Linked DNA regions of Macaca fascicularis. The protein of the gene in region 5 purifies or fractionates together with the protein of the main gene of each other region. This does not show direct contact. Links are inferred from orthologs where the notes say so. Each region holds a gene or a part of one and is shown on either strand. Other genes may lie near its edges.

Region 1 (6,072 bases), on a different chromosome or scaffold from region 5:
TCTTCTCCAGCCATTGCTGTTCTCGCCTCTGTTTGTTTGTGACCTGAGAGAGAAGGCCGTGGTGGTGAGTAGGCAGCACGGAGGCTCAAGCTGCCACCTGCTAGAAGGGAGATGGTGGCAAAGGGCACAGATTGCTTTTCAGCAGCAACAGGGAAAAACAATCTAAGATGCCAAAGATGATTTACTGTCCACTGCCGCTCAAATTTACATTTAAATTCATATTTCCTTGCTGAACTAGCAAACAAAATTCCATTCTTCCCTTAAAGAAATCAGCCCTCATCCAGCAAGAGGTAACACACACACGTGTCAGAGGACACTTTTCCCCACATAATTTAATGCCCCAGGTAATTCTGACAAAATCCTCAGAAGCTTATTGCATCTTTGCCTCTGCTGTGGCTTTGTACACTGTGGCATTTTGAGCTCAGAACTTCTTGGTGAAAATCTTTAAAATGATTCCAAATTCAGTGAAATGGAAGATGTCACATACTACCTGTGGAAGTGAAGGGCAGGGAGGGAGATGTACCTTTCTGGAAAGCACTTGACAATTTACCAAAAGCCTTTAAAAGATTCATGTATTCATGACCTTTAACCTGTTCATTCCTCTTCTAGGATTTTATCCAAGATAATTATGCAAAACCCCAAAGATTTATACACAAAGGTGTTCATTGTAGATCACAGCATTTATAAAAAACATGAATAAACATGGGAAGAGCCCACACATACAGTAATGGTAGGTGGGAAAAGGAGGCTTTTCATTTGTACACTGAGGACAATTTCAGAGTATATTTCCTTCCAATTGTCACTGCATACACCAAACAGGGTAAGTGAGGTCATTCTGCTTCTTGATGTATCTTTATGCATTCCCCAGATTTTCCACACTACTCTTTTTTTTTTTTTTTTTTTTTTTTTGAGACGGAGTCTCGCTCTGTCGCCCAGGCTGGAGTACAGTGGCCGGCTCTCAGCTCACTGCAAGCTCCGCCTCCCAGGTTCACGCCATTCTCCTGCCTCAGCCTCCCGAGTAGCTGGGACTACAGGCGCCCGCCACCTCGCCCGGCTAATTTTTTTGTATTTTTTAGTAGAGACGGGGTTTCACTGTGCTAGCCAGGATGGTCTCGATCTCCTGACCTCGTGATCCGCCCGTCTCGGCCTCCCAAAGTGCTGGGATTACAGACGTGAGCCACCGCGCCCAGCCCACACTACTCTTATAAATTAGAAGGAAAATACAAATAAAATTATCTCAAGCTCCCACCACTGCCACAGAATTACACCTGCCCACCACCTACCCTTTCAACCCCATCTTACATACCTTTGCGAGCTGGTTTTTATTTGCTTTGTTTTCTTCACTTGGGCTGGCCCGTGCCTTATTGTTTTCGGTGCTGCCTTCATTTAAGCCCTGATTTCCAAAGATTCTGGCACCACTGCCACCCTCCTCCCATAAAGGGCCACACTGCTTCAGCACTCGACCAGTGGGCTCAAGATTCTCTTCTGCATCTTCCAAAGAAAGATATTTCATTAAAACTGAGAACCTGAGAGAGTTACACAGGTGATTACTGTATTAATGATTCCAAAATTACCTGGGTCCCTACTTGGCCACAGGGGAAGTAAGTTTCCTTGAGACAAATTCTAATGTCAAGACAGTGGGAAACATAGGAAGAAAAAGTTGGTAAAAGTGGGAAGATAAATGTGTTGTTTTTTTTTTGTTTTTTTTTTTTTTTTGAGACGGAGTCTCGCTTTGTCGCCCAGGCTGGAGTGCAGTGGCCGGATCTCAGCTCACTGCAAGCTCCGCCTCCCGGGTTTACGCCATTCTCCTGCCTCAGCCTCCCGAGTAGCTGGGACTACAGGCGCCCACCACCTCGCCCGGCTAGTTTTTTGTATTTTTAGTAGAGACTGGGTTTCACCATATTAGCCAGGATGGTCTCGATCTCCTGACCTCGTGATCCGCCCGTCTCGGCCTCCCAAAGTGCTGGGATTACAGGCTTGAGCCACCGCGCCCGGCCTGATAAATGTTAAAATAACCCACTGACCAGCGTTTTGATCAGCTTCCCAACAGCAGAGTGCTTTTTAGATAAATTATGTTTTAACATGAATTTTTACGGGAAAGTCTTCCATTTGCACCCAAAACCGAGAACACAAACAGGCTCTAAAGTGGTGCTGTCCAATGTATTAGCCACTAGCTATATGTGGCCATTTACATTTAAATTAAAATTAAACATTTAAAAGTTAGCTCCCCAGTCTCATTGCACAAGTGGCAGGTACACACTATACTGAACAGCACAGATCACTGGAGGGTGCTGTTTAAAGTCTCAAAGACCAAGTTACTTACAGATTTCTAAAAGTACAGCCAATACATAGTGGATAATAAAATACCTCATCACATGGAGAACTATGATGCCAGAAACAGTATCTGACATGTAACATCTGGCAATCAGTATTTATTGATACCATTTTAAATAAATGACTTGAGAAGGTAATAAGATGTTACATCTCTTTTTTTTTTTTTTTTTTTTTGAGACAGAGTCTCACTCTGTTGCCCAGGCTGGAGTGCAGTGGTGTGACCTCAGCTCACTGCAACCGCCACCTCCCAGGTTCAAGCGATTCTCCTGCCTCAGTCTCCTGAGTAGCTGGGATTACAGGCACCCACCACCACACCCAGCTAATTTTTGTATTTTCAGTAGAGACGGGGTTTCACCATGTTCGTCAGACTGGTCTCGAACTCCTGACCTCGTGATCCGCCCGCCTTGGCCTCCCGAAGTGCTGGGATTACAGGTGTGAGCCACCACACCAGGCCTTTACATCTCGTTTCTTTCCTCTGAGTCACAAAATTAAACTCGGTTCATGTTTAAAAAAAAAAAAAAAATCAAAATTATCACAAGTTAATAGAAATCTAAATATTTCCACCAGGAAAACAATTCTCGTTATCATTTTGGTCTTCTAAGGGCATCTTATTTCTAAACAGGTTAATTCTTCCCTGATGCGTCCCCCAGCACCCTGTACTCCCACCCCATTATGTACTATCACACCAGTTTACCTGTCTCCACCATCCACCCTCCACGCCTGAACTACACTCCCCCTGAAGCAGGGCCAGGACCTAGTAAAAAATGTCTGCATACAGAACATGCTCAATAAACAACTCCTAAATGAATGACAGAACAGTTACCACCTGTGACTTGGTTAAAAATAAATATTTGGAAAATTACCAACACAACCATTTTGAAGGCCTATAAATATCAGTCATGGACTTACTATTTCTCTTCCCTTGGTTCATCTGAAGCATGGCAATTATTGCAGATTCAATATTATAATTTTCAGCTTCCAGATTCTGGACTATTAAATTAAAATCCTATCCAAGAAACAAACAAACAAAAAAATCACTTCAAAACTCTCAGTATATTTTTCTGCCTAGCTCTACTTCAATAATCATAAACATAAAGATGTAATAGTGAGAATTAATCATAAACATAAAGATGTAATAGTGAGAATTAAGACAAGGTTTCAGGACCTTTTCCATTTAGAAAATGTCAATTTTCAATAAGGTTGGTCCCTTGAAATAACCATCTAATGTACATTTATAAATGAACGCCCTGTATAAAACTGCATTTGTACTACTGCAAACACTAGTCAGGAAAAATTAAATCCGCATACTCCCTGAGAACTTTGAGCAGTACTGGGTGAAGTCTAGCAAACAACAGGGAAATGAATAAACAGCTCTCATTAAGCCACATATGCTAATCGAACTATAAATCTCATGGGCCTATTTTGCCCCACAAGGTGCTGATATGCTGGAGAGGTCCTATGAAACTAAGACGTAAGCTAGGCACAGCAACACGTAAGCTAGGCACAGCAACACGTAAGCTAGGCACAGCAACACTTGCTTCTAAATCATTCCTGCATGACAGAAATACTAACTGAACATCCAGTTGCATTACAAACTTTCTGGACAGCATCCTCTACTTCGTCTCTCAGGTCGTCTTCAGAGTCCATTCCCTTTGTCTTGATCTTTTCTCTTTTATTTGATTCATCTTGATGAAGCATCTGAAACTAAAGGAAACAAATAATAATCAGGGAACTGTGTTGAGAATCAAACTATGTTCACAATCTTCAACAAAAGACACTCTAATCTCGAAAAGCACCCAGGGAAACTTGTCAATCCAAATCCTAAAGCCACAAAGAACAGTTCACTTGGGATCCATGAGACCTTTACAGCCTGGGCCTTACATCAGAAAAGCTAAAATCATCCCTCTGTAGATGCTCAACCACCTTCTTCTGCTTCCCATTAATGCAGGGAGATAGGTAAATGGGCAAAGACAGCTCTATTTTTTGAACGTAAAAGTATAGTGGACTCCAGCAACATGCAGTATATTCCTCGGAATGTTAATACAAAGCATTCTATTATAAAATTAAACGCTAAGAATTTGACAAAGAGTTACAGGAGTCTTTGACCCAGTAGTTTCAGTTTTGAAATTTAGCCAAAGGAAATAATATCAAATAGAGAAAAGATTTATGGTCCTGGTGCAGTGGCTCACACCTGTAATTCCAGCACTTTGGAGGGCTGATAGGGGTGGGTCACTTCACCTCAGGAGTTCAAAACCAGCCTGGGCAACAAAGTGACATCCCATCTCTACAAAAAAACACAAAGAATTCTTTGGGCATGGTGGCATGCACCTGTAGTCCCAGCTACTCAGGAGGCTGAGGTGGGAGGATGGCTTGAGCCCAGGAGGTAGAGGCTGCAGTGAGCCGAGATCACGCCACTGCATTCCAGCCTGGGCAACAGAGCTAGACCTTGTCTCGAAAAAGTAAAGAAAAGAAAAGAAAAGATTTAGGTAAAAGGGCTGACAGTGTTACTTATACTAGTGAATAACAAAACCACCGAAAGGCTTTATAGTATGGGTATGGTTAAATAACCACTGTAAATCCACAGAATGATGTCTTCATTCCCACCAAAGGAAGAAACACAATCATCACTCCCACCGTTATTACTTAACAATATTTTGGAGGTAACAGCCAAAGCCATTAGCTAAAATAAATTATAAGTATAAAATTAAAAAGAAAAAAGTAATCTGTCCTTGTAAATGATATAATTCTGTAACTGAAACAAGAGAATCAACAAAAAAAACTACCGCAAACCAAAAAAATTACAGCAAATCATATACCTGATAAGACTCTAGCATCTAGCATATATTAAAAACTCTTACAACTCAAAAACAAAAAGGCAGAACCAATTAAAAAATAGGTAAAAGACTTGAATAGACATTTCTCCAAAGATATACAGATGGCTGAAAAGCACATGAGAAGACGTTCAATGTCATTAGCTATTAAGAAAATGCAATTCCAAACTTTAAGATACTGGCCAGGCGCGGTGGCTCACGCCTGTAATCCCAGCACTTTGGGAGGCCGAGGTGGGCAGATCACGAGGTAAGGAGATAGAGACCATCCTGGCTAACACGATGAAATCCCGGCTAACACGATGAAACCCCATCTCCACTAAAAATACAAAAAATTAGCTGGGCGTGGTGGCCGGTGCCTGTAGTACCAGCTACTCGGGAGGCTGAGGCAGGAGAATGGCGTAAACCCAGGAGGCAGAGCTTGCAGTGAGCCGAGATCACGCCACTGCACTCCAGGCTGGGCGACAGAGCAAGACTCCGTATCAAAAAACAAAAACTTTAAGATACTAAGTAGGATGACCATTTAAGAAAAAAACTAAAATGTTAGGATGAAGAGAAAACAAAGCCTGGCAAGAAAAACAGTGCAGCTGCTGTGGAAAACAGTTTGGCAGTTCCTCAAAAAGTTCAATTTACGTTTACCATATGACCCAGCAATTCCACTCCGAGGTATATACAAAAAGACTGAAAATAAGCATTTGTAAAAATACTGTACACAAATACGCACAGCAGCACTATAGCCAAAAGGTGGGAACAACCTAAACGCTCATTAACAGATGAATAGATGTACAAAAAATCATCTCTCCATATAATGGAATATTATTCAGCCATAAAAAAAGAATGAAGTACTGATACATGCTACACCATGAATGACTCTCAAAAACATCATACTGAGGAAAGAAGCCACAAAGAA
Region 2 (5,415 bases), on a different chromosome or scaffold from region 5:
GTGAAGCTCTGAGAGGTCAGACAGCCACCAAATGGCAGACCTGGGATTTGAACCCAGAACTCTGCTCAGGGGTCAACTGACTGTTCTCCAAAGGCCAGGTGGTAAATATTGCAGGCTTTCTGGGACTTCAGCTCTTTGGCAGCTAGTCAACTGTTGCAGCTCCACAATAGCTACAGACAGTCCTAAAAACGCAGGGTGGCTTTGTGCCAGTGAAGCTGCATTTGCAAAAACAGGCAGTAATCTGGCCTCAGCCCTGACTCGTGGTTGCTGACCTGTGTCCTGTGCTCTCCCATTGTCTTTTTTTGAGACGGAGTCTCGCTGTGTCATCCAGGCGCTCACTGTGCTCACTGCAAGCTCCGCCTCCCAGGTTCACGCCATTCTCCTGCCTCAGCCTCCCAAGTAGCTGTGACTACAGGCGCCCGCCACCATGCCTGGCGTATTTTTTGTATTTTAAGTGGAGACGGGGTTTCAGCGTGTTAGCCAGGATGGTCTCCATATCCTGACTTTGTGATCCGCCTGCCTCGGCCTCCCAGAGTGCTGGGATTACAGGCGTGAGCCACCGCGCCCAGCCCCCCAACTTTTTTTTTTTTTTTTTGAGACGGAGTCTTGCTCTCTCACTCAGGCTGAAGTGTAGTGGCGCATCTCAGCACACTGCAACCTCTGCCTCCCAGGTTCAAGTGATTCTCCTGTCTCAGCCTCCTGAGTAGCTGTAATTACAGGCACCGGCCACCAGGCCCAGCTAATTTTTTTTTTTTTTTTGTATTTTTTAGTAGAGACGGGGTTTCACCATGTTGGTCAGGCTGGTCTCCAAATCCTGACCTCAGGTGATTCACCTGCCTTGGCCTCTCAGAGTGTTGGAATTACAGGCATGAGCCACCGTGCCCGGCTTCCCATTGCTTTTTCTCTGAAGAGACTTTAAGACTTGGAGTCTAGTTTAAAAAAATAAAGAAATAAAAATCAATGCCTTCTGCTGGTTGGAACGGGAAGTGTAAAATCTGAATTCACTATAGGGTCACAGTTCCACCCTCAAGTTTGCACAGTGCCTTCCTAGCGCTGACAGGATGTGTGTGCTGTCTTCGCCACTAGGTGGATGCAGGTGGCAACCTTAAACCTTTTGCTTTTCCCGATTAAAAGTCCGACAAGAACCGTAGAACCTTTAAGCATATTTAACCAGTTTAAACCCTATTTGCACTGTTTTAGCCACAAAGATACTGTACAGTGAACCATTTACAGTTGTGCCTTGTGTTGTCCCACTCTCAGCTGTGCATCTCACCGTCGCTCTGGAAGACCTAGTCCACCCAGTTTCTAGGTTATCATTTGAAATAGTCTTGGCCTGGTTTAACCATCAGTAAATGAGGCCAGATTATGATAAACCTTTTCCCCTCAAACTAGGGATCCTCTTTTTCTCTACAATAGTTAAATTGGAAATTTTTAATGTACTCTATTCATTTATTTTGGTGGGTGACCTGATTTTTTAAATTTTTTAGATTAGTCAAGCACAGTAGTGAGAAGAGGAGAAAGAGTAGAACAAGGAGTAACTGCCTGTGAACGATCAATTGAGATAACTCACTGCCTTCGATCAGCGGTGGCTTGGTTTCTAATGACAGTAAGACAAGTTCCTGTAGCCATTGTTAATCTCCTTGGAAAAGAAATGAACATTGTGTGGTTTCAAAAGCTCATTAATACAGCAGAAGCACTCTGCTTCTGTTGAAGGGAGGTTTTCGGATGAATTTTTATGTGTGTTCATTGAACAGACGTTTCCTAAGCTCCTCCTTAGTACCTGGCACTGGGAACAGAAGAAGAGAAAGCTGTGCCTTCGGGGTGTTCCCAGGTCTGCACTGAGTTCTAGTGGCCAGAGCCACCCGCCTGCCTGTGTGGCAGGTGCATCAGGATAAAACAGGAGTTCACAGAGGAGCTTTGTCGCTTCCCCTCCGCTAAATCTGTTCTGTGTCCCCACATCACTAAGTGGTGTCACCATCATCCAGTCACCCGGGATAGGCAGCTGGGAGTCATTCTTGAAGCCTCCTCACCTAGGCCTTCATTTCAAACCTCCATTTCCTCTGGATCACTGTCACCAGCTTAGTGCAGGCACCACCAGCTTCTACCCAGACAGCAGGTTCCTTTCCATCTCCCTTCTGGTCCCAGCCCAGTCTCTGTGCGAAGGCCGGACCGCAGAGGGCTCCATGCCCCGTGACATGGAGTTCAGCGTGACCTTCAGGTGCTGGAGAGAGTTGTCAAGGGCTTTCCATGGGGAACTGGCTGTGCCCTGCTTCACACTCTGGAGAGAGAGCTTTTGGGTGCTGGGCATGGGTTGAAGGGGTGCACAGCCAGAAGGGAGAGCTATAATCATGCAGAGATCCTTCCTCTTTAAAGCAGGGGACAGGTGGAGAAAAGAGATCAGTCGAGAATGGTGTTTGGTGCCTTTGACCTCACACTTCAGGGGCGCCTCTTGTGTGCCATGGATATCATTGGCCAGACAGGGACTGATGAAGGCCCAGCCCTTTTAAAGAGTAAACAATAAACAAGGAAATGAAATGTTTATAGATTGTGATAGATTGTGTCAATGCTGGGAGGGCAGTAAATAGGATGCGGTGATAGAGTCAACAGAGGAACGTAATTTGGGGAGGAGGGGGTGGTCACAGATACCCTCTCTGAGGGATTTTTGTTGATGCTGAAACCAAAGGGGCAAGAAACTGGGAACCCAGAGCTGGTCTATGGGTGAAGGGAGCAGCCCTTGAGCTCATCCTGGAGCAGGAGAGAACCTGTTGTATTCAGTAAGGGAAGCTCCAGGTGGGAGAGTGATAGGGATGGGTATAGCGGGAGAGGTTAGGCTCTGTGTGCAGTGGAGAGGCTGGTGACTACCTGCTGTGGAGGGGCAGAGCTCAGGGCATCCATGCTCAAGAATCCCAGTTTTGATGTTATATTTGCCAAGAAATAGCCAACTGGTTGGCACAGGGGTTGCGGGGATGCAGAAGGAAAGTAGTCCTTGAGAGTGAATGTGCTTTCTACCTGCACGCGCACACACACATGCATACCCGCCTCCAGTATGTTGTGCTGTGGTTGTTTTTGAGGCATCAGAGGGTGTGCGTGCCGCCACATGTTGATCAGGGTGGCTTCTGCCTTCAGCATTGCCGCATCCCCTCATCCTTTCCCTGGCACTTCAGAATTGACACTGGAGCTTTGTTGTAAAATAGTGATGTGAGTAACTGTCATTCACTGACATCTCCCCCGACACTTAAAGTCTTAGCAGCTGCATTTAACTTACACATATTTGTTTCATTCTAACAGTGGTTTCTCTCACCCTTTGCTCTGCAGTTTTAAAAATACTCTTGTAGGGGGCTTCTAAGAGCTTGGAGCGCCAAGTAAATGTTTTTGAATGGCTAGCCTGCAGGTTGGGTTTACATGCTGTCATAGTGAATTGAATTGGTAAGTAATCGTCTTTCTCATCACATAGCCCATTAGAATGTCACCTTTTCTGTTTCTACTTTGCAGGTCATTACACCTACTCTGAGAATCGTGTGGAAAAGGACGGCCTGATTCTTACAAGCCGGGGGCCTGGGACCAGCTTCGAGTTTGCACTTGCAATTGTTGAAGCCCTGAACGGCAAGGAGGTGGCGGCTCAAGTGAAGGCTCCACTTGTTCTTAAAGACTAGAGCAGCGAACTGTGATGATCACTTAGAGAAACAGGCCATTAGGAATCCATTCTCACTATGTTCGCTCTAAACAAAACAATGGTAGGTTAATGTGTTCAGAAGCGGCTGTCACTACTGCTTTTGCGGAAGTATAGTTGTGAACTCACAACGACACAGAGATTTCTCAGCCTACAAATTGTGTCTATACATTTCTAAGCCTTGTTTGCAGAATAAACAGGGCATTTAGCAAACTACTGATCATTCCTTGTTTTGTCCCTCATTTCTTTTGTGAAATTAAATTCCGTATCACCTTCATTTGTAGCTCTTAACTGTCCCTATAGCACTGAAATAGAAGAACAGTGAACACATTTTACACAGCAAGGAGGAAAGGCATACAAGGAGAATTTTAAGAGGCTTATTATTTTCTCTGCTTATTAGCTGTGTGTTTTTAATGTGCTATTAAAAAATACTTATGAGGGCTGGGTGTGGTGGCTCATGTCTGTAATCCCAGCACTTTGGGAAGCCGAGCCAGGAGGATTGCTTGAGGCCAGGAGTTCAAGACCAGCCTGGGCAACATAGCAAGTCTCCATCTCTACAAAAAAAATACAAAAATTAGCCAGGCATGGTTGAATACACCTGTAGTCCCAGCTACTTAAGAACCTGAGGTGAGAGGATCACTTGAACCCAGGAGATCAAGGCTGCAATGAGCTATGATCACACCACTGAACTCCAGCCTGGGTGACACAGCAAGACCCTGTCTCCAAAAAAACAAAAAGAGAAAAGAAAAAAAAAATTGGTTGTACTGGTGAATTTTTATACACTAGTTCCTTTTTCCATTATGGAAAGAGTCCTTGGATAAAAACTTTTCAAGGTTAGCCCAACATCTCTTTTCCCTTCCCCAGGTAATAGCACCCAGCATTCCTTGTGAACCACTCAGTTCCTCCTGGGTGGGCACATGACCTAGACCCAGCCAGTCAGAGCCCTGTTTTCCACCGGCCATGTGACCCAGGGGAGCTCAGTCAGTCCACAAGACTCCATCTGAGGGTCTCACAGCCGCTGTACTCTGTCTGCTGGAGTGGCCAAGGGGATATGCTGGTAACCCAGAGCACTGGCAGCCGTCTCGTCACTGGCAGCCGTCTCGTCACTGGCTGCCGTCTCGTCACTGGCTGCTTGGGAGGGCCCTCAGGCTGTGGGTGGCTGACCCTGGTCCAGAATGCTGGGCAGATGTTAACTTTTACAATGCAAACACACGTGTAATTGTCTATTTTAGTAAGCGCTTTAACAGATGATAATGCGAAGGGAGAGAAGAGTTACATGGTGGGGAGGGAGGCTTCTGAGGAAGTGACATTTCAGGTGTGGAGCAGGAGCAGAGCTTAGGTTTTCATTCCTTCCCCAGCTGTGTGCTCAGTACCTACTGTGTGCCAACTGCTGTTCCCGGTATTGGGAATATGTCAGGGAGAAACACAGCCTTTGTCCTTGGGGAGCTTATATTGTGGGCACCGGGGAGAGATGAAAGCAAATACTCAAATACCCACATTCTATGAAGAAAATGAAAGAGGGTAAGGAGGCAGTGACAGGGGAATTGCATGATGGGAAGCAAAGGCCTCTCCAAAAAGACATCTCAGTGAGAATCTGAGGACTTTTGGGTGTGAAAGAGACAAGTAGGTATCTGTTCAGAGCGTACCAGGCAGGAGGAGCAGGGAGGGGCGGGTTATTGGAGGTACACAGTAGGAAGTGAAGTTGGAGAGGTAGCCAGGGCCACGGCGAGGTGTCAAGACAGAGA
Region 3 (6,799 bases), on a different chromosome or scaffold from region 5:
AAAGAGACTGGGGTGAGTCTATGCAGACAAGGACAGAACCCAACTGCATGACATTCGAATTGGGTGTAGGAAGCATTATCGTGGAGATTTCACTATAAATGACATCAATAATCACAAATATTTTTTCAGGTGTAAGGCAAAACTAACAGCTTCAAATTAATTACCGCAAATCATTTAATTGGTGCCCTTGGTGACAAAGAGTTCACTTGGACTTACACTTCAACTGCTGAAGTTCATCTGTATTTGCTAAAATGTTGACAGTCACTGGTCTCAAAATGTTTCCAAATTCTTCACTATTACACTTCAATACAGGTAACAGGGATCAACCAACACCTTCTAATAATTGGAAATAGGGTTATGAACCTAAAAACTTTTTAATTTATTATTTATTTTGAGTTGGAGTTTCATGCTTTTTTTTTTTTTTTTGAGACAGAGTCTTGCTCTGTCACCCAGGTTGGAGTGCAGCGGCATGATCTCGGCTCACTGCAACCTCCGCCACCTGGGTTCAAGTGATTCTCCTGCCCCAGCCTCCCAAGTAGCTGGGACTATAGGCGAGCTTCACCACACTCGGCTAATTTTTGTATTTTTCATAGAGACGGGGTTTCATCATGTTGGTCAGACTGGTCTCAAACTCCCGACCTCAAGTGATCCACCCGCCTGGGCCTCCCAAAGTGCTGGGATTACACGCACGAGCCACGGCGCTGACCTGTAAACATTTTTAAATTGTAACTTTTTCCACGTACCATTATTCTCAGTGACAAATTTAACTTTAACAAGTCAATTTTTTTTTTTTGAGACAGAGTTTTGCTCTTGTTGCCCAAGCTGCAGTGCAATGGCGCGATCTCAGCTCACTGCAACCTCCACCTTCCGGGTTCAAGCGATTCTCCTCCCTCAGCCTCCGAGTAGCTGGGATTATAGGCACATGCCACCATGCCCCGCTAATTTTGTATTTTTAGTAGAGACGGGATTTCTCCATGTTGGGCAGGCTGGTCTCCAGCTCAGACTCAGGTGATTCACCCGCCTCAGCCTCCCAAAGTGCTGGAATTACAGGTGTGAGCCACCGCGCCCCGCCCCGGACAAGTCAAATTTAAAATAAGACCTTTAATTTGCAGTTGTTATTCCCAACAGAAACAAGTAATATGCATATCATGGCGCTTAACACCTGATAAACAATCAGTATTTGCTGAATGAAAGAATGGCCATTAAGGCTGCAAGACTCTTAGAACAGTAGGCAAACAAATAAAACAAATTTATTAAAACGCTCAGAATGACTCGAGCAGGAACCAGTAACTAAATCCTGTCATACATGATTCCATTACTTGTTTCCATTACTATTTTTTTTATTGAAAATTATTAGAAATCGGCCAGGGGCAGTGGCTCACACCTATAATCCCAGCACTTCGGGAGGCCGAGGCGGGTGGATCACCTGAGGTCAGGAGTTTGAGACCAGCCTGATCAACATGGTGAAACGCGTCTCTAATAAAAATACAAAAAATTAGCCGGGCGTGGTGGCGGGCGCCTGTAACCCCAGCTACTTGGTAGGCTGAGGCAGAAGAATCGCTTGAACCTCGGAGGCAGAGGTTGCAGTGGGCCAAGATGGCGCCACTGCACTCCAGCCTAGGCAACAAGAGCAAAATTCCATCTCAAAAAAAAAAAAGAAAAGAAAATTATGAGAAATCAAACTATTTCCTTTGCTACTTTCTCCATGCTAGAACTTAAAAGCATTTAAATCACACTTTAAAAGAATAAACCCAAAGTGTTGCTAACATTTCTGTTCGCCAACTTTTGCTACTCCAATTTTCTAAAGATGTATATAACGACGATTTAGACTGTTGTATAAAATGTAAATACTGGGACAACGAATTTACAATTAAGTTTACATATTATCCATCCCCATTAATTAACATTTCAATCAACCTTTAATTGTGATTGATGCTTATTAAATAAAGGAAGTGAGTTATGCCTAAAGATGCTTTCTTCATGTCAAAATCACAAGGAATATTACACATTAATTCATAATGAGACTTATACTTGTTCATACCAATTTAAATAGGCTAATTAGTATTTAAGTTGAGGAAAAGCAAATATCAAATCTTTTTTTGTTTAAAATAGAAAGGTCTAAACAAAGCTAAATACACCAAATCTCTTAAAATCTTTGTGTTATACATTTGTAAAAACTATTCAACTGCTGATGCCTTCTTTCGTGCAAAGACCTATACTACTTACAAAAATGTACAAAGGAACAAAACGTTAAAGGGGGAAGTTCTGATGCAAACTACACTACAGCTAATTTAACACAATTGAAGCTTGTCGTAACATCTAATTTTTAAAAAAGTTTTCGCATTTTAGATTCCACAACACGCATTCATTACAATAGTTACGAAAATCATGTTTCAAAAGAGGTCTAGTCAGATTGACTTCATCTGCAGAACGGCAACAAAACCCAACTGCTTATGAAGGGTTATGATTTTACCCGCCACCAGTTTTCCGAATGGCTACTTTGTTTCATTTCCCCATATTTAATACAAATACACAATGAGATGGTTAAAAAGTGTGCAACAATTTATAGGGACCAGATGTCAACAAATTAGCAGTCTAAAGCAAGACTGACAAATAATAACATCACGCCGATTTTTGTCCAGAAAAATTACAATGGCGGAGGGGAGACATGGGGTGGGAGAAGGGGTGGGAGAGGTGAATAAGAGCTTAACTCTACACGCACATCTCCCAAAAAGAGCTCTTTCTTTCCACTACGGGATTATTGTAAAGGGCCCCTAAGCTTTAGATAGTGTTCAGGCAGGGTGCGTTAGTGTCAGCCTGGCTGGGATGGATTCGTGCAAGGGATGTCACTCAAATGCAAGTGAAAGTACGGTCCTTGCGACTTATTTCGAGTTTTCTTTGCAACAGTAGCCTAACGCCGCTACTCAGCGACTTCTATCTAAAAACCAGAATATCAGCAGCCCCCGCGTCATCAATCAAGCTGAAAAAGGAAGCTTTGGGGGCAAAGGGGCAACAGGGCACCCCTAAATCTTTGAGGCTCGCTCTGGGTAGAGGCAGCAACCTGAGCTGCTCTGGGGCTCCTGCCGCTCCAGGGGACTCCCGGAGCCCCCGGGCCGCCTCCCTGGGCCGGCGCGGCGGGGAGGGCCCCACTCCACACCCCGGGCTCGCCCCGCGGTCCAGCCCCAGGGAGGTTAACCCCTTCGGCGCCCCCCACGCCCTCCCCAGGCGGGGACCGGAGCCCCCGTCCCTCTGCCTCTCCGGGACTAGGGGGCCTGGGTGGCTCAGGGGGACGAAGGCGCGACGGGCGCGGAGGCGGCGGGTGGCTCCGGCCTAGGCCCGGGCAGCGTGTCCCGGCGCCCTCCCCCACTCCCACACGCTCGCTCCGGGCAGGGCGCGGGCGCCCGCCCGCTGCGGCGTCCGCCCGCCCCGGGCTGGGGCCCCTTCCGGCCGAAGGCGCGGACCGGCGGCTACCTGCGGGCTGTGGAGGGCCATGGCTGCCCGTTTCAATGGGACTCGGCGTTCCTCCGGCTGCTCACGCTGCTTCCCCCGCCGCCGCCATCTTCTCGCCCGCACATACACACTCGCATCGGCCGCCGCGCCTGCGCACTGGCCGCGCGCCGCGGGGCGCGGGGAGGCCGGCGTGCTGCTGCGCCTGCGCGGCCGACAGGTGGGCGTGCGTCTGCCGGGCCGCGGACCTTCCCTGCCCCGCCTGGAACCGGCCGGACTCTGAGCCTCGCGACCCTCGGGCGGAAGATGCCCGGCGGCTGCATTCTAAGAGCCCGCCGGGTCCTGCCTGCGAAGCCGGAAGGGGAGGCAGCAGGCAGGTGGAGGTGGCAACGCCGAGGCGCCGGCGGGCCCCGGCTCCTCACCTACTGGCACCTGGGCCCCCGGAGCTCGGGAGCCGCGGCCTTTGGTCGGCCGGGGGCCCACGAGCCGCCCTCGGCGTCCCTGGGCCCGGGCCTCGGCAGTGTTCGCATTAGATCTCCGAGGAGGGTCAGGTTTATGAAGATCCCATTGCCGCCCGTTCATTCATTCGTTCACTCTTCATTCACTCCCCAAGTCCTGCCTGGGCGCCTGGGCCACGCCTTTTGCTAGGCATTAGGGGAAAAAAGGAAAACAGAAACAAAACGTAGGGCATAAAAGCACGCGCAAAGTGCTTGACATGAGGCCTGGCAAGTAGCAAGCACTCAGCAAGTGCTACGTGTTGCACACGTGCGTGCGTGTGCACGGCAAACCAGCCTTGGGGGTCGTTGGTCCATTCATTATTGAGAAGCAGGCGCCCCTGCCTGACTGCACCGTTTTCCAGCCAGTGGGCCCACCCTCGGGTTTTGGCCCCTTTTCTAGCTGTGATTTCAGACAAGCGACTTCACTTCACTAAGCGCTGGTCTCCTCACCTGTGAATAATACAAATATGTCGTCAAGCGTAAGATTTCTGTGAAGTTCAAATTAGATTAATGTGAGCACACTGGCCAAGAGAACAGTCAATAAAAATTGGCTACTGGGATTGTTACTAATAACCACTATCATTGCTTTCATTTGTTCAACAAACACCTACAGAGAGTCTGCTCTTGCTAGACCTTACGCTAAGCAGAGGAGATTAACAGGAAGATCCATTCCCACGTTACATAAAATAGGGAGCCTGATCTCTTCATAAGTGGGATGCCATGAAACATATAAGTGGGCCAGGCGCGGTGGCTCACGCCTGGAATCCCACACATTGGGAGGCCGAGGCGGGCGGATCACAGTGAAGAGTTGGAGACCAGTCTGGCCAATATGATGAAACCCCATCTGTACTAAAAATACAGAAATTGGCGGGTTGTAGTGATCCAATGTAGTGATTGTTCCAATCAATCTTGCTTCGATCCTGATATGTCTTTTTTTTTTTTTTTTTTTGAGACGGAGTCTCGCTCTGTCGCCCAGGCTGGAGTGCAGTGGCCGGATCTCAGCTCACTGCAAGCTCCGCCTCCCGGGTTCACGCCATTCTCCTGTCTCAGCCTCCTGAGTAGCTGGGACTACAGGCGCCCGCCACCTCGCCCGGCTAGTTTTTTGTATTTTTTAGTAGAGACGGGGTTTCACCGTGTTAGCCAGGATGGTCTCGATCTCCTGACCTAGTGATCCGCCCGTCTCGGCCTCCCAAAGTGCTGGGATTACAGGCTTGAGCCACCGCGCCCGGCCCTGATACGTCTTTTAAGCTGATTTTACTGTTTATTTGTTGACAATTGAAGACATTTTAATATGGATTGGATATAGGTGATCTTTGTGAATTATTGGTAATTTTATAGTGTAATATTGATACTGCACTCCTTGAGAGAATGTCCTTATTGTGAGGTGATGCATTCTGAATAATTTAGGAGTGAAGGCCATAATGCCTGTGAACTATTGTTTAATGGTTCAACAAAAGATAAAATCATATACACACATAAACATTCAGGGAGAGACAGCAAATATGGCAAAATGTTTACAATTGTAGGCTCTAAGTAGTGCTATATATTTCAGCTTTTCTCTATGTTTGAAAATTTTTATAACAAAAAGTTGAGGAAAACAATACAATATAGTGTCTATGCTATGATTTTAACCATGGAAAAGCGATATCTGCACATGGATAGAAACTGGGGGACGTGAAAACTCACGGGTGATTTATGGTTGTCTCTCTGGCTGGGGGTGGTGGCTCACACCTGTAATCTCAGCACTTTGGGAGGCTGAGATGGGTGGATCGCCTGAGGTCAGGAGTTCAAGACCAGCCTCATCAACACGGTGAAACCCCGTCTCTACTAAAATTACAAAAATTAGTCAGGCGTTGTGGCAGGTGCTTGTAATCCCAGCTACTCAGGAGGCTGAGGCAGAAGAATCACTTGAACCCGGGAGGCAGAGGTTGCAGGGAGCCGAGATGATACCATCATTGCACTCCAGCCTGGGCAAGAGTGAAATTCTAAGAAAAATATATATATATAAATAAAAATATATATATATCTTATATATATCTATATATATAGTTGTTTGTCTGATTTTTATCATACAGTTGCTTGAATAACAAATAAAAGTGATAATAAACAAAAGATCCCAGGCCGGGCGCGGTGGCTCATGCCTATAGTCCCAGCACTTTGGGAGGCGGGTGGATCACCTGAGCTCAAGCGTTCGAGACCAGCCTGGCCAACATGGTGAAACCCCGTCTCTGCTAAAAATACAAAAATTAGCCGGGCATGGTGGCAGGCACCTGTAATCCCAGCTACTTGGGGGACCGAGGCAGGAGAATTGCTTGAACCTGGGAGGCGAAGGTTGCAGTGAGCCAAGATCATGCCATTGCACTCCAGCCTGGGAGACAAAAGCGAGACTTCTTCTCAAAAAAATAAATAAATAAGTAAATAAAAATAAAATAAAAAAGATCACAGTCTTCATTTTCAAATAATTCACATAGATATTAACATGTATCTTCAGTATAAGGAAATAGATGTTAAAAGGAAGATATGAACAAGCACTATAGCCTACAGTGCTTAGCAGACCTTGGTGATGTACTTTGGCTGTGTCCCCACCCAAATCTCACCTTGAATTGTCATAATCCCCACATGTCAAGAGTGGGGCCAGGTGGAGATAACCAAATCATTGGTGTGGTTTTCCCCATGCTGTTCTCTTGGTAGTGAGTAAGTCTCACTAAATCTAATGTTTGTGTGTGTGTCTGTATGGTTTTTTTGTTTGGTTGGTTTTTTTGTTTGGTTGTTTTTTGTTTTTTTGAGACAGTCTTGCTCTGTCACCCAGGCTGGAGTGCAGTGGCGGGATCTCAGCTCACCACAACCTCCTCCTC
Region 4 (6,072 bases), on a different chromosome or scaffold from region 5:
AAGCCTAGTCATAACCTCACAAATAGTAAAGAAATCTTAGCCATCCCTTAAAAGTCTCAGAATTTGCTAAAATTTACCTTTTATTAATTTTTTAAAAGGTTATATGACATCAGATATAATTAAGAGTAGGTAATTCAATTTGATCACTAAATGTGTCATTTTAACATTGTATGTCCAAATTCTTTAATACACCACCTTTCAAGAGGTGGAGCCTAATTCCACCTCTCCCTGAATGTAGTGTGGCCTTAATCAGTTGTTTCTAATGAACAGAATAAAGTAGAAGTGACAGTGTACAAGTCATTAAAAGACACTGTGATATCCATCATAGTCACATCTTCTCTTGGAGCATGTGCTTTGTGGGAAGCCAGTTGCCATACTCAGGAGCTGAGAGGGCCACACAGTAAGAAACTAAGATCTACTGAAAACAGCCAGAACGGAACTGGGGCCTCCAGCCAACAGCGATGTGAGACATTTTATAGGTGGATTCTCCAGTTCCAGACAAGACTTTAAAGCGCTAAAACCAGAAAGATATCTTGACTGCTACTTCCTGAGAATATCCGAGCCAGAACTAGCTAGTTAAGCCTCCCAGATAGCTGACCCATAGAAACTATGAAACAGTAAGTGTTTTTAAGCCTTTAACAAAATTAAAATAAAGTTTTTGGGTAATCTGTTATACAGCAATGGGTAACTAATATACGTAACTATTATCCTTACAATACATGCATACCTTTCCTCTAAAACTAAAGTCTTACGCTCTCCAGAATCCAAGCTTGATTCTGTTGGTGTGTTATATGTATATCCACTGGTCTGAGGCTTTAGGGGAACATGCTGTGCAGTCATAACATTATCTTCCTTTTTTGAGCTTCTTGTAGATCTATAAAAACGATAAATGTATGAGTGTTTATACTTCTTCAAAATAAAATTTTCTTCCAGAAACAATATACGGGTGGGTACAAAGACAATACAATATTGGCTATAATGAATATCAGATCACCCTGTTCAGGCTCTGACATCTGCAACTAGCTAAGGAAGGAAATTGGTTTCTAGGACCTACCAAGAGTCCTAATTTGAAAAATTCTGATGAGAGGAATGGAGAAGACACCTGCCCAGGAAGGTGGTGAAAGGCACATGAGGAGATCCTATGTATAAGTGGCTTATGATATATATTACAGTTAATCTATGATGTTTTACTGGAGAATCCATAAACAACTAAAACTGTCTTCTTTGATATCCCTAGTCAGCCTACTGAGGGGCAATAGGGTCCTCACAGGGACTCAGCTCATCTCTTTGGTAGTTAGTTTATTCCAAATATATGCAAACAAGATACACTATTCCTAGTGACTGTATATTTCTTCAGGTTCTAGTATCCTCCTGGGTACTACCATTCGAGTCAAAAGAAATAAAAGTGATTACAAGAGAATACTATGAACAACTGTATGCCAACAAATTAGATAACCTAGATGAAATGGACAAACTCCTAGAAACACACAAATTATCAAAATTGATTCAAGAGGAAATAGTCTCAAAATACCATGAATCAGTAATCAAAAACAAACTACCCATATAGAAAAGCTCAGGCACAGGTGGCTTCACTGCTGAATTTTACCAAACATCCAAAGAAGAATTAAGACAAATTATTTACAAACTGTTTCAAAAAATAGAGAGATAATACTTCCCAATTCATTGTATAAAGCCAGTATTACCATGATACTAAAACTAAACAAAGACAACAGAAGGAAAGCAAGCTACAGATTGGAATCCCTCAACAAAATACTAGCAAATTCCAGCAACATAATAAAAAAAAGAGAGACAAAAGCAGAGAATGGCCCGAAAAAGTGAAACAGAAGGTGTATGGGATTTCTTTATGCACTATAATGACATACACTAATATATTTTAGGACACACTGCCATTTATTTCAGTATATCCTCAGCGCCTTACTGCTTCTAACACAAAGTATGTATTACCTCAGTAGGTTTTTGGAACTAATAAGAATTCATTAAAAGCATCTAGCAAATATTTGGCACATAGTATGAGCTCAAAAAAATGTTAACTATTATCATCCTAAGAAGAAAAGTATTAAGCTATATTCCTAACTATTGAAATCACATTAATCTCACTTAAAAGGAAACAATTTGAACTATACACTTAAAAAAGATAAAGATAGTAAATTTTATGTTATGTGTTTTTTGTTTGTTTGTTTTGTGAATCTCTACTTTGGGAGCCCAAGGCAGGAGATTCACTTCACACCAGGAGTTCGAGACAAACCTAGGCAACAAAGCAAGACCTCATTTCTATAACAAATTAAAAAATTAGCCAGGTGTGGTGGTCTACACCTATAGTCCTAGCTACAAAGGAAGCTAAGGCTAGAGGATTACCTGACCCAGGAGTTTGAGGTTACAGTGGGCTGTGATCATGCCACTGTACTCCAGCCTAGGCAACAGAGGAAGACTCTGTCTCTTTAAAAAAAAAAAAAAGTTTAACTCTTCGACGACAATATCTTATTAAATTTAACAGTCATAATCCCAGGTGCTATGTACTACTCCCTATTTTAATATCAGGAAACAAGTGCAGAGTACTACTTTGCCTGTGTGTCACCCAGCTAATGGTAGAGACTGGATTTAATACTGGGTATGTCAGAGTATAGAGCTCTTCATGCTAATTACTGCCTGTCTATAAATGATTAAATAGCACAAATTATTAAATGCTGAACAACAAAAGTAACTATATTATACACATAACAGATATTACCTAGAACAATCAAGATTTTTCTTCTTAGCCAAGTCTTCCTCATCACTTTCCAATGGCTCACTCAGCAAACAACTGGAAATTTCATCATGACCAACGGTACCTCCAGAACCTTTAGCATTTAAAAACTTCTGTACTCTTTGGTTGCCTTTAGTTGCTATCTTCTGCCTTTTAAGTGGAATCGTTTTTTCTCCAATATTCTTAGATGACTGATTTGTTTTCTTAGCAGATTTTTGTCTACTGTTGCGATGCACTGGTAATTCATTTCTTATTGAAGAATTGCTATAAACAGGACCTGAAGGATTCAATGATAACCTAAAGTTAGTATGTTTGTCCAGATGATTTGGCTCACTGAAATACCAACAGTATTTATATTTGCATATAAACATATACACATACACACACACACACATCTCATAGGCTAATTTCCAAATTAAATTCTTTAAACAATGTAGCTCTTCAGTTTACAGATACATGAAACAGGTCCTTCAAATCTGTCACAGGCTTCAAGAAACACTCTCTGGCTTTGCCCACCGCCCTTCTGGCCATCCTTAATATTGGATATTCCCCAAGGTGACAGCTTCAGCTTTTCACTCCATATACCTTCTTCATTACCCAAGTGGGAACAGAGGCAGTAGGCTTGACATTGACATGTTTTTTCTATTAATAATTTTAATTGGCTGAGGTCAATTCTATCATTATAAGCATTTTATATTTAATTATGTTTATTTAAGCTTCCTAGTTACTCCTACCTTCAGTCTTCCTTGCAAGAAAAAAAAAAACAAAGTTGTCTAGTCTAGTATTAAATAAGTTGGCCTAAAAAAACTGTTGAAAATTTCCGTAATTAGCATAGGGAAAATACTAAGTAAACAGAAAACTCTGCTACTGAGCAGAGTGGCAGAGGTGTTTTCAAATTCATGCTGGATAATTTTAAAGGCCCAGTCCAATGTTAAACTATGTCACTCACAATCCTTGAAATTCTTGTATAAGGCCTGTCCTGAGAAAAACCTTAAGGGAGACGTAATTTCCCTATTCATTAGATGGTATGCTCTCACTAAGCTTTTTATGAACCATAAGAATAGCTCTATACCATACTCAAATGTGTTCAAATTGGTCAACACCTGTTACAGGAGTTATGTAACCAGGCATAGTCATTAGTGGCAGACAAAAGAAAGGAACCACAGCAAGAAACTTTTAGAAGGGTCAAGACTAGGAGAGTAGAACAAGAGGGTCAAAAACTGATTCCATCTGGGAATAATATTTAGTTGGATCAAGAAAAACAACATAGAAACCATTAAGAAACTGTTGAGACTAAACCCCCAAACATATGAGAATCATCAACTTGTAGCCCTCCAAGTTACCAGATTTGTGCTGAAAACATTTAAAAATTAATAATGAAGAATAAATTTGGTTTACTTGTTGTAATATTTCTATAAGTGTGGTCAAAAGGGATGTGAGATTGTGGACATAAGTTAGAGCTGACAGTAATAAATAGCTGTGGTATTAGTTGGTTTTCTAGGAGAAAAGCCATGAGAAGAATTAACAAATTTAAACCAAAGGGTTTCAGGACATTGAATCAGATGAAAGATGAACATTAGCTTATTTTTGAGACTCACCTATTTAGGCTGTATGATGACTGGAAGGACTTGAAGGACTTATCTACCCAGAGCTTTAATTACTATCTATATGCTGATACCTATAATATCCACCTACCGCTCTCCTCTAAAACTGCCTCTCTTGCTTTATTTCCTATCTTAATGAAAAATACAACTACCTATTCTATCCAGATATCTAAATCAGAAACTTGAATTATGCAAGACTACTACTCCTATCCACAATCATGCCCTAAATCCTATCAATTCTACTTTATTAATGCCTTTCAAATCTTTCAAGCTCTCCCTCCTGTCATCAGCAGAAGCCCTCATCATTTCATATCTGGATTATATCAGTCTCTTTACTAATCTCCCCCATTCTAGTCTTGTTATTTTTCAATCCATTCTTTACACTGCTGCAAGAATCACCTTTGGAAAACAAAAACTGGATCATTACAACCCTGCTTAATTATTTTAGTTATTATGTATAGCTTCAGGATAAAGTCCAAATACTTTCAACATCAATTCATATCTACATCTAGATTTGCTTATTTCATAAACTGCATCTCCCAAAACCCCCCTCCAAACAAACAAACCAAAAAAAGCCATCAGTACTGAACTACCTATAGTTTCTCTAAAGCACTGGTTGTCAAAAGGCAGTCTCTAGACCAGCAAGATCAGCATTATCTGGGAATTTGAAATGCAAATTATCATGACTCACCTCAGACCCAGGGAATCAAAGATTTTTCAGAGCAGGGCCCAGTAACCTGTATCTTAATAAGCCCCCAGACAATTCTAAAGCATGCTAAATTTAAAAAAGATCAAGCTCTCTGCTCCAGATCTCTGCACAAGCTACTTCTACTTAAAATATTCCATAACTTCCTCCTTACTCCACTCAATCACTTAGCTAACTCCTAATTCATCCTTCAGGAAGCTTTCCCTAATTTCCAAGTCTTAGGTAGCTTGCTATCAACATACGACTGTTTACTTACCTCTACCCCGCTCCTCCAGCAGACTAATTCCTTGACCCCAAGTAATTGACTGGTATTTTATCTATGTATATTCCCAATGCCTAATGACAGAGGCAGGACTATGGTGAAACAAGAGTAGCCTCAGCTGGAAAATTCAAGAAGGTGCTCATTTTTAGGTCTGTGCAAGTACAGAACCCGAACTAATACAATCCTGTGACTGAGTGCCTTAAATTTTTCACCCTAGTGTCTCATTGTCTTACCCTAGTCCTGGTCCTACTTTACCTCATTCCTGTCCCATGGCAAGTACTCCATATACATACATTTCTTCGTATATATGAAAGGGAACAGTGTCACATGTACTACACGCAGGCTGGGGGCAAGTCAAGTTGTTCTTCTTAACTTCAGACTTCAATTTCTTCTCCCATCAGATGACAGTTTAGACTATATGATATATAAGGATTCCTCCACTTTTTCAACTCCCAGTTTGATCAAAAATCCAACATCTATTTCAGGACTGTTAAATAAGTGTTTTTTGATAGTTTCAGAGATCTAGCACATTTATCCAAGTTCTGTAAGAACTTATTTACCCATCTATTTATGTGCTCATCTGACACAGTTGTGATGCACTGGTAATTTCTTTAGCATTTCAGGCATCCTGGAGCAGAAAAGTGAGCTCCTCAAAGCAGTAACAGTATTATTTAACACTTCAGTACTAACATATGCCAAACCTACTATGCTAATAGCATTTAAACCTTATAAAAAC
Region 5 (6,557 bases):
TGTAAATCTGCATTGATGACTATACTGCTGTGCAAACTTTTACACTGGCAGCAATAAAATTCCTTTTTCCTCACATAAACTGTACATTACTCCTTTCAGTTGTGCTTTACTCTTGAATAAGCACTATGAAAAATGAAGTTTGTAAGTTATCATATAGCAATTAGGTGGTACAGTCACGTTTTTCAGGAAATATAACTTAGCAGATACAAAACAATGTAAAATAAATATTGTGAATAGAATATTTTTTAAAACCCTCATGATTAATTTCAGTAATCACTTACCTTGAGGTAATTTAGGTAACTTCAATAGTCACTGTACTCTCTAGTAGTTAAAAGTATTCCCTGTGAAGATTTATTTGAAAAGAGGCAAATCTACCAAACAATAAAAATACAACAGAAGCCTAAAGTTTCCACATACCCCAAATACACTATTTTTCTATAGTCTCAAATTCAGCACTATATTTCAGACTAATATTAATATATAACCCTACTAACAAATATTTAGAATAATTTAATTTTGCGATATTTTAAAACTGAATTATTGTCCTCAGTTTTCCTCGGAGAAATGGCTTCATTATTAATCTTTCTTTACCAGATAAAAATACTCCAATCACTACTTTCATAAAGGAATTTAACTTTTCACAGGTTAGCTGCCGAAATAAATACTACAGCATGCCAAAGACAAAGTCCTCAATGACCATTTTAATGCCTTCCCACCCCCATAAACAGAAAAACAAGCAAACCAAGTACGTTGGAATATCAAAATTATTGGGAGTGCAATTATCAAAAAAGCAAGCACTTCATTGACTTTCCTCACTGACTTTTTTTTCATACCAACTTTTGGCTCAATAAAACCACAACTCTAGAAATCAAGTGTTATTAGTCATTTGACACAATATTTGATACTGCTTTCTATGCATAACTAAAAGTACAATTTTAGAGAAAGTTTTAAGTCACATAAATTTCATGTGTAGAGACCCACATACTCTGAAATCAAAGGAAATGCCAGTCACATCACAGCTCACATGTAAAAACCTGGTAGAATAATTTTAAGGTCTTAATAACCCTGACAATTTTAAATAAAGTGGGAAAAGTAAAAGTAGTGTGTATGTACTTTAAGTGCTGAAAGAAATCTGTCTCCCAGACAGCATTTAATTATTTTCTTCAGAGGCTTTTTTTTCAAAGTTACATAAACATTTAATTTTTTGTTCCTATATATTTGGATGACTGCTAATAGTAGTCCAAATGCTAATAGTAGACTGCTTTGGAAGTCACAAAAGAATTTTTTCCATAATTATCTTCTGGGCAAGCGGGTTTAGCCTTAGTAACATTTTTATCTTCCAGTTTAGCCTTAGTAACATTTTCAATTAATGCCAACTTCAAAATTTGCAAATACTGTTTTAAAATAATATTACTGACTTAACAGAAAACTAAATTTTGGGAGGCTACTTCTTCAGTAAGTTTTATATTCATTTCAAAACAAAAACTTGGGCAAAATTAACTGTGCACATGTATATGCAGCTAACATAATCCAAGGGAATAAAACCTCTCCCGATATAAACGTTGTCTTAAAAAAAAATCTTCCCCACAATTTTTAGCAGGACATATAGACACTGCAGTGTCACGCTACCTTTAGACAAAATGCAACTGATACTTGCTAAGAAATAATTTTTATTAAAAATACTTTGCTAGTACTTATGCAATTACATAATTTTAACTAAATATTGTCCACTGCCACAATTCGCATTACCAAACTCATATTACCAAATTTTAGGCCTTGATAGAGCCTAAATGCTTCAGTCACTTCAGACCAATAACTTCTGTTTTCACATACCTTATACACTGGCCTACCAATAGCTCTCAATTCCTGTCAATACTTTCCATTCTGCAAAATGAGGGCCCCATCCCCATCCCTAATCAAAACCAGTCTGTTGTACCTGAAACTGCAAAGATTCATGCTTTTCGATGACCACTAACTTTTGAAGCCCGAAGGCCTAACTTTTAGACAACTAAAGCTATACACTGTTAAAATTCTTGGGCTTCTGTCTTATTCAACAAGCTGACTCAGTAAATTTAATACACTGTATGAAAAAAGCTAACATACCTACAATCTAAAGCTGGAGTAAACTTCTCTTGCCAGCATTTCTGGATATTAGCTGGTAAAATTCACTTGACATTCTACACAAATCAGTGAAATTAACAGTACCAAAAGATGTCAGAGAACCTGAAATCTAAAAACGGTGAGCAGCAATTCTGGCATCACAATACTTAAATTTCAAGCATGAACTGAAGTTTTATCTTTGCAATCTTCACTTGCCACACACAATACCCTTGAACCTACACATTGTCATCTGGGATCAAAAACTACTCAATATCCATTCCATGTTTATGACAAGAGCACTGAACATTAAACGCTACTGAAGTGCAAATTTCAAGCCCTATCCTACATCATCCCATAGGGAGAGAAAAAGGTAAATATAACAAAGATCTAGTAAGAACGCCTTATAAGGTATATTATGGCATTATTGATTTCAAACTACAAAACTTCTAAATACAGTCCAAAGTTGTAACTTAAGTGTAAAACATTAACAAAACTACTTTTTGCACTCAATGTGCACCATATATACTGAAAATTATTCTGCTTCTAAAGTTATGCAAATCAGTCATATTTTAAAAGAATCTATCAATGCAACCCAGGAAACTAAAACAATCACTGCAAGATTCTGATGCAATATGCATACGTGCAACACTAATTTTCATTTTATTCTGATCTAAACCCTTGATCTAGGGCCTAAGCCAAGATTTAATCGAAATATGCTCAACCTCAAAGCGTCTACTTTTTTGTTCATTTAGGAGACCGGATTACCGAGCTCTCTAATCCACTAACAGCATACTGTATTCTGTATTAACGGACAATAGCCCTCAGGAAGAGACCGTATAGACAGCCTAAGCAAGCAATCGGTGCCTCGACACTTGCAACCAGGCAAGAGTTCTGTCTAGCCGAACACACCCTAGGTTGAATACAAGAAAAGAAACACAAAATATATGACCTAGCAACCCGACCAGGGTTAAATGTTATAGTCGCCCAAACTAGGGACATTTTCGCATCCGTCTACTCCCACGTTCTAAGAGAGTGACAGAAAGGCAAAGAGGAGCAGCCGCAGAAATGGATACAGGTCAAGTCTAAGTCGAATCCATCCTCTTGATATCTCCTTTTGTTTCTGCTAACGATCTCTTTGATGATGGCTGTCATGTCTGGGAGCCTGTGGCTGAAGAAAAAGGAGGAGAGAGATGGCAGAAGCTGCTGGTGGCGGGGCTTCTTCTGCAGGATGGAAATGGCTCTGGACTTGGCGGTAGCTGATGCCCCTCGCTCTGCCGCCGCTTGGCTCTGGACCGCAGCCGGGTAATGGCTGCTGCGGCGGCTGCTGGATGGTTGCAGCGACTGGGCCTGCTTCTCCTCAGCAGCCAGAGGCCTGGCAGCAGCGGCAGCGGAATGGGGAGAAGACGAATAATCCTCGGAACGGCTGCCTCCTCCGGCGGCCTCCGGAGCCCGGGCCACGGGGGGTGCGGCGGCGGCGGAGGGGAGGTTTAAAACCGGCCCGGGTCCCTGGATGTGCCGCCGCCGCCGCCGCCGTGTTGGAGGCAGTAGAAGGGGAGAGACCAACTCTCCGGCGTTCCCAGCCCTGGAAATGGTGACAGGCGACTCAGACCCCCTCCCTGGAGCTGCAGCCGCCGCGGCCGCCGCGGCCGCCGCTTCTCCCCCCCGCTCCAGGAGCGGGAGGTGCCGCCGCCGCCGCCGCGCCTCAGCCGGCTCCCGCCCGAGCCCACGGCTTCCACCTTCCCCTTCAAGAGAAGCCGAGGAAGCGGCTGCACGGTTAGAAAAGACGAAGAGGAGGCGAGAAACGCCGCCGCTGCCGCCGCCGCAGGCCGGCCGGCTCCCCGAGGGCGCTGCCCCCGCGGCTGCTCACAGGCGCTGAGAGGGGCTCCGGGCCGCGGCCGCCGCCGTCTCTCATCTCCCTCGCCTGAGCCCGGCCTCGCCTCACAGCGGCTCAACTCTCAAACTTCCATCATGGCTGCAGCTTCCGAGAGGAGAGAACTGAGCGCAGCCGCGTCCCGGCGCCCGAGCGCGTATCCTGCCGCAGTGCATAAAGAGTCCCGCCACATCACCGCCCGCCGGCCTGCCCGCCCCCTCCGCCGCCGCGCCGGGAGCCCGGGCTCCTCGGGAGACCGAGGGGAGGCGGGAGCTGAACGAGAGGCGGACTGGACCGTGCCGGGCGAGGGGAGGGCAGGGCAGGGGGCGGTAGGCGGGGACAGAAGCGGTAGCTCCGGGTGCGAGCGCAAAGCCCCCAAGCCGTAGGCTCTACTGAGCATGCCCAGTGTGGCTGCCTAGAGCTCGCTCGGGCCGGTTCCGAGCCGCCAGCCTGCAACTGCACTTGCCGCGGCTGCTTTTGCAGCAGCGCGAGGCGAGGATAACGAGCTAAGCCTCGGCCTCTGCCCAGAAACCCAGCCGGAGGCAGGGTAGGCTGTTGCGGGGCGGGGGTGGAGGACTGATGATGAAAGCTGAGATGGGTGCGTTGAGCAGTGTCACTGACTCGAGTCTCAGGTTACCTGTGCACAGGTGGAAAGGACCAGGTGACCACGCTGGTCAGTATACAGGGAAATGCAGGGACGGTCCTTGCAAGGGTAATACCCTCCCCCCTGCCTCTGCCCCTGGATTTCCGCGGCGTGGACTGCATTCGCTCTTTTGCATCGCTGTCGATCACAGTCGTTCGCAGAGATTTGACTGTAGCAGCCTTTGCCTAGAGATTCCTCCTTTCCCCAACCCTGTGTCCTCAGGATGTCAGTCTTAGCACAAAGAGCAACCTGCTATTGTGTTTCCAGCGTGCATCACCTCATCCGGCTCCCTTGTAGCGCCCCACCTCTCGCTTCCCCGGTAACTCGGCTTGTTTGCCCTAAAAATGAAAGCTCTCAGCCGAGCGTGCTGAACGTGAACACATCGCCGTTGAATTTCCAGAGCCCAAAGGGCACCTATCTAAATGAACTGAAAGAGGATCCCCGTGAGTAGGACGCACCCCGCAGCCCTCTCCTGCGCCCGCTCCGGTGCCCCTAGGAGACTAGAGCATCTCTCCCCCTCGGGCTCCAAGTCAGTTCGCCGCGTCGGACTCAAGCTCGGTTCTTAGAGACCACCTAGCCCCGCCCCCCCTTGGCCTCCGTGAAAACCCGGCGGGATGGATCGCCCGGGGCCAGGCTCCACGCGCCCCGGCCAGACCATGCACGTTCGGGGTTACCAGGTTGAGTGGAAAGTACGGAACGGTAGGAAGCTGCAGCCCAGCGAGTGGGCGGGGCAAGGAGACCTAGGAGGGTTCAAAAGGGGGTGGAAGGATACACGGGCCACAGTCGGAACTACTTTCCGAAGGAGGTCACGTGTGTTCCTAGTTGGGGAACTTTCCAAATTCCCACTCCCCAGTGATAGCTCCGGAGGCAAGTACTCTTCTTTTGCTCGGGGTGTTCTCGCCTGGTGCAGGCTGCAGAACCCCAGCCCTTCCCGCGCCGCGGCGGAAACAGGGACTCGGACCAGCCTCCCGAAGGAGCGCTGTCGGGGCTGGCGCTTGGGGAGCTGGTTACACAAGCACCCACATCCAAACACGTGCCCCCGCCTCCCCGCCTGCTGGCTGCCGCCGATTCTTACAGAACGCGGGGAGAGAGTCCCCAAGCTGGTCCTATTCCTCGCCTGCTACCCTAAGAGCAAGCCAAGGACGGAGACCTGAGACTCCTAGCTCTAGATCGACCTATACTGCGCCTTCCCAAACGTGGGAAAAGGATCTGGGCGCTAGGGGTCTCGGGCCTCTCCCTCGCTGATGCCCTGCCCCTTAGGGTGAACCCTTTTAGTTCTGTGCTTGCGGGTTATCTCCTGCTGCAGCCCAGAGCTTGCATTCTCTGATGTTGCAACAAACGTCCAGTCACTACCCCTGAGCTGGTGAGCGCGCCCCACCTACTGTAGACTCAGCCAAGTGACTTATCTGGTCTGAGAACCTCGTCAATGGCCGTCAGCCCAGAACAAACCTGTCAAGTCCGCTTACAACCCCGACTGGGCAGACCTGTCGCCGTGAGAGAGCTAATTCAGAAATGCAGAGTTGGATCGCGCTCCTTCTACCCCGCACCGCACCCGTCAAGGATCTACAAAGCAAATAGTCGACCCGCTTAAAGAGAATGAGCATCAACACCAGTCTGGGAATTTATTGTTTTTTCATTTCCCTTAGGAAGTAGAACTCCAGACCACAATTTGAGTGAAAAAATATCTAACGAGACCTAGGTTGAAGCACTGAGTTGTTTTTCAAACTTTGAGAGAATGAGAATCAATCTGCATGTGTGTTCAATAATTGTAAGTGCCTAGGAAAGTCTAAAGAGGATTTATGCCGTATTTGAGAAAGAGGACTGTATATGTGCACATCATAGTTGCAGGCAACCTGTGAAGACTGGAAACCCCAAGAGACCTAGCGCAGAAAGCCACAGGCCATTACCTAACTCCGGGACTACTAATTAAACCTGGGATATTTA

Evidence for each region.
Region 1: the proteins of PTEN (region 5) and OTUD3 purify together in Homo sapiens (affinity purification with western blotting; 3 studies listed by BioGRID and IntAct, with this or other methods). This does not show direct contact. The link is inferred for Macaca fascicularis from reciprocal best matches to the Homo sapiens genes PTEN and OTUD3.
Region 2: the proteins of PTEN (region 5) and PARK7 purify together in Homo sapiens (affinity purification with western blotting; 4 studies listed by BioGRID, with this or other methods). This does not show direct contact. The link is inferred for Macaca fascicularis from reciprocal best matches to the Homo sapiens genes PTEN and PARK7.
Region 3: the proteins of PTEN (region 5) and USP10 purify together in Homo sapiens (affinity purification with western blotting; 4 studies listed by BioGRID, with this or other methods). This does not show direct contact. The link is inferred for Macaca fascicularis from reciprocal best matches to the Homo sapiens genes PTEN and USP10.
Region 4: the proteins of PTEN (region 5) and CENPC purify together in Homo sapiens (affinity purification with western blotting; 3 studies listed by BioGRID, with this or other methods). This does not show direct contact. The link is inferred for Macaca fascicularis from reciprocal best matches to the Homo sapiens genes PTEN and CENPC.

What each region holds. Positions count from the first base shown.
Region 1 is NC_088375.1:215,186,148-215,192,219, forward strand, and holds part of OTUD3 (OTU domain-containing protein 3), read right to left. Parts: intron 4,039-6,072; coding exon 3,907-4,038; intron 3,341-3,906; coding exon 3,244-3,340; intron 1,492-3,243; coding exon 1,307-1,491; intron 44-1,306; coding exon 1-43.
Region 2 is NC_088375.1:226,887,699-226,893,113, reverse strand, and holds the end of PARK7 (Parkinson disease protein 7), read left to right. Parts: intron 1-3,492; coding exon 3,493-3,653; 3' UTR 3,654-3,884; downstream 3,885-5,415. UniProt on the Homo sapiens protein: Multifunctional protein with controversial molecular function which plays an important role in cell protection against oxidative stress and cell death acting as oxidative stress sensor and redox-sensitive chaperone and protease.
Region 3 is NC_088394.1:80,574,499-80,581,297, reverse strand, and holds the start of USP10 (ubiquitin carboxyl-terminal hydrolase 10), read right to left. Parts: upstream 3,580-6,799; 5' UTR 3,493-3,579; coding exon 3,472-3,492; intron 1-3,471. UniProt on the Homo sapiens protein: Hydrolase that can remove conjugated ubiquitin from target proteins such as p53/TP53, RPS2/us5, RPS3/us3, RPS10/eS10, BECN1, SNX3 and CFTR.
Region 4 is NC_088379.1:66,250,661-66,256,732, reverse strand, and holds part of CENPC (centromere protein C), read right to left. Parts: intron 3,042-6,072; coding exon 2,750-3,041; intron 875-2,749; coding exon 728-874; intron 1-727. UniProt on the Homo sapiens protein: Component of the CENPA-NAC (nucleosome-associated) complex, a complex that plays a central role in assembly of kinetochore proteins, mitotic progression and chromosome segregation.
Region 5 is NC_088383.1:96,733,382-96,739,938, reverse strand, and holds the start of PTEN (phosphatidylinositol 3,4,5-trisphosphate 3-phosphatase and dual-specificity protein phosphatase PTEN), read right to left. Parts: upstream 4,098-6,557; 5' UTR 3,253-4,097; coding exon 3,174-3,252; intron 1-3,173. Other genes in the region: KLLN (killin), read left to right, coding at 5,228-5,767. UniProt on the Homo sapiens protein: Dual-specificity protein phosphatase, dephosphorylating tyrosine-, serine- and threonine-phosphorylated proteins.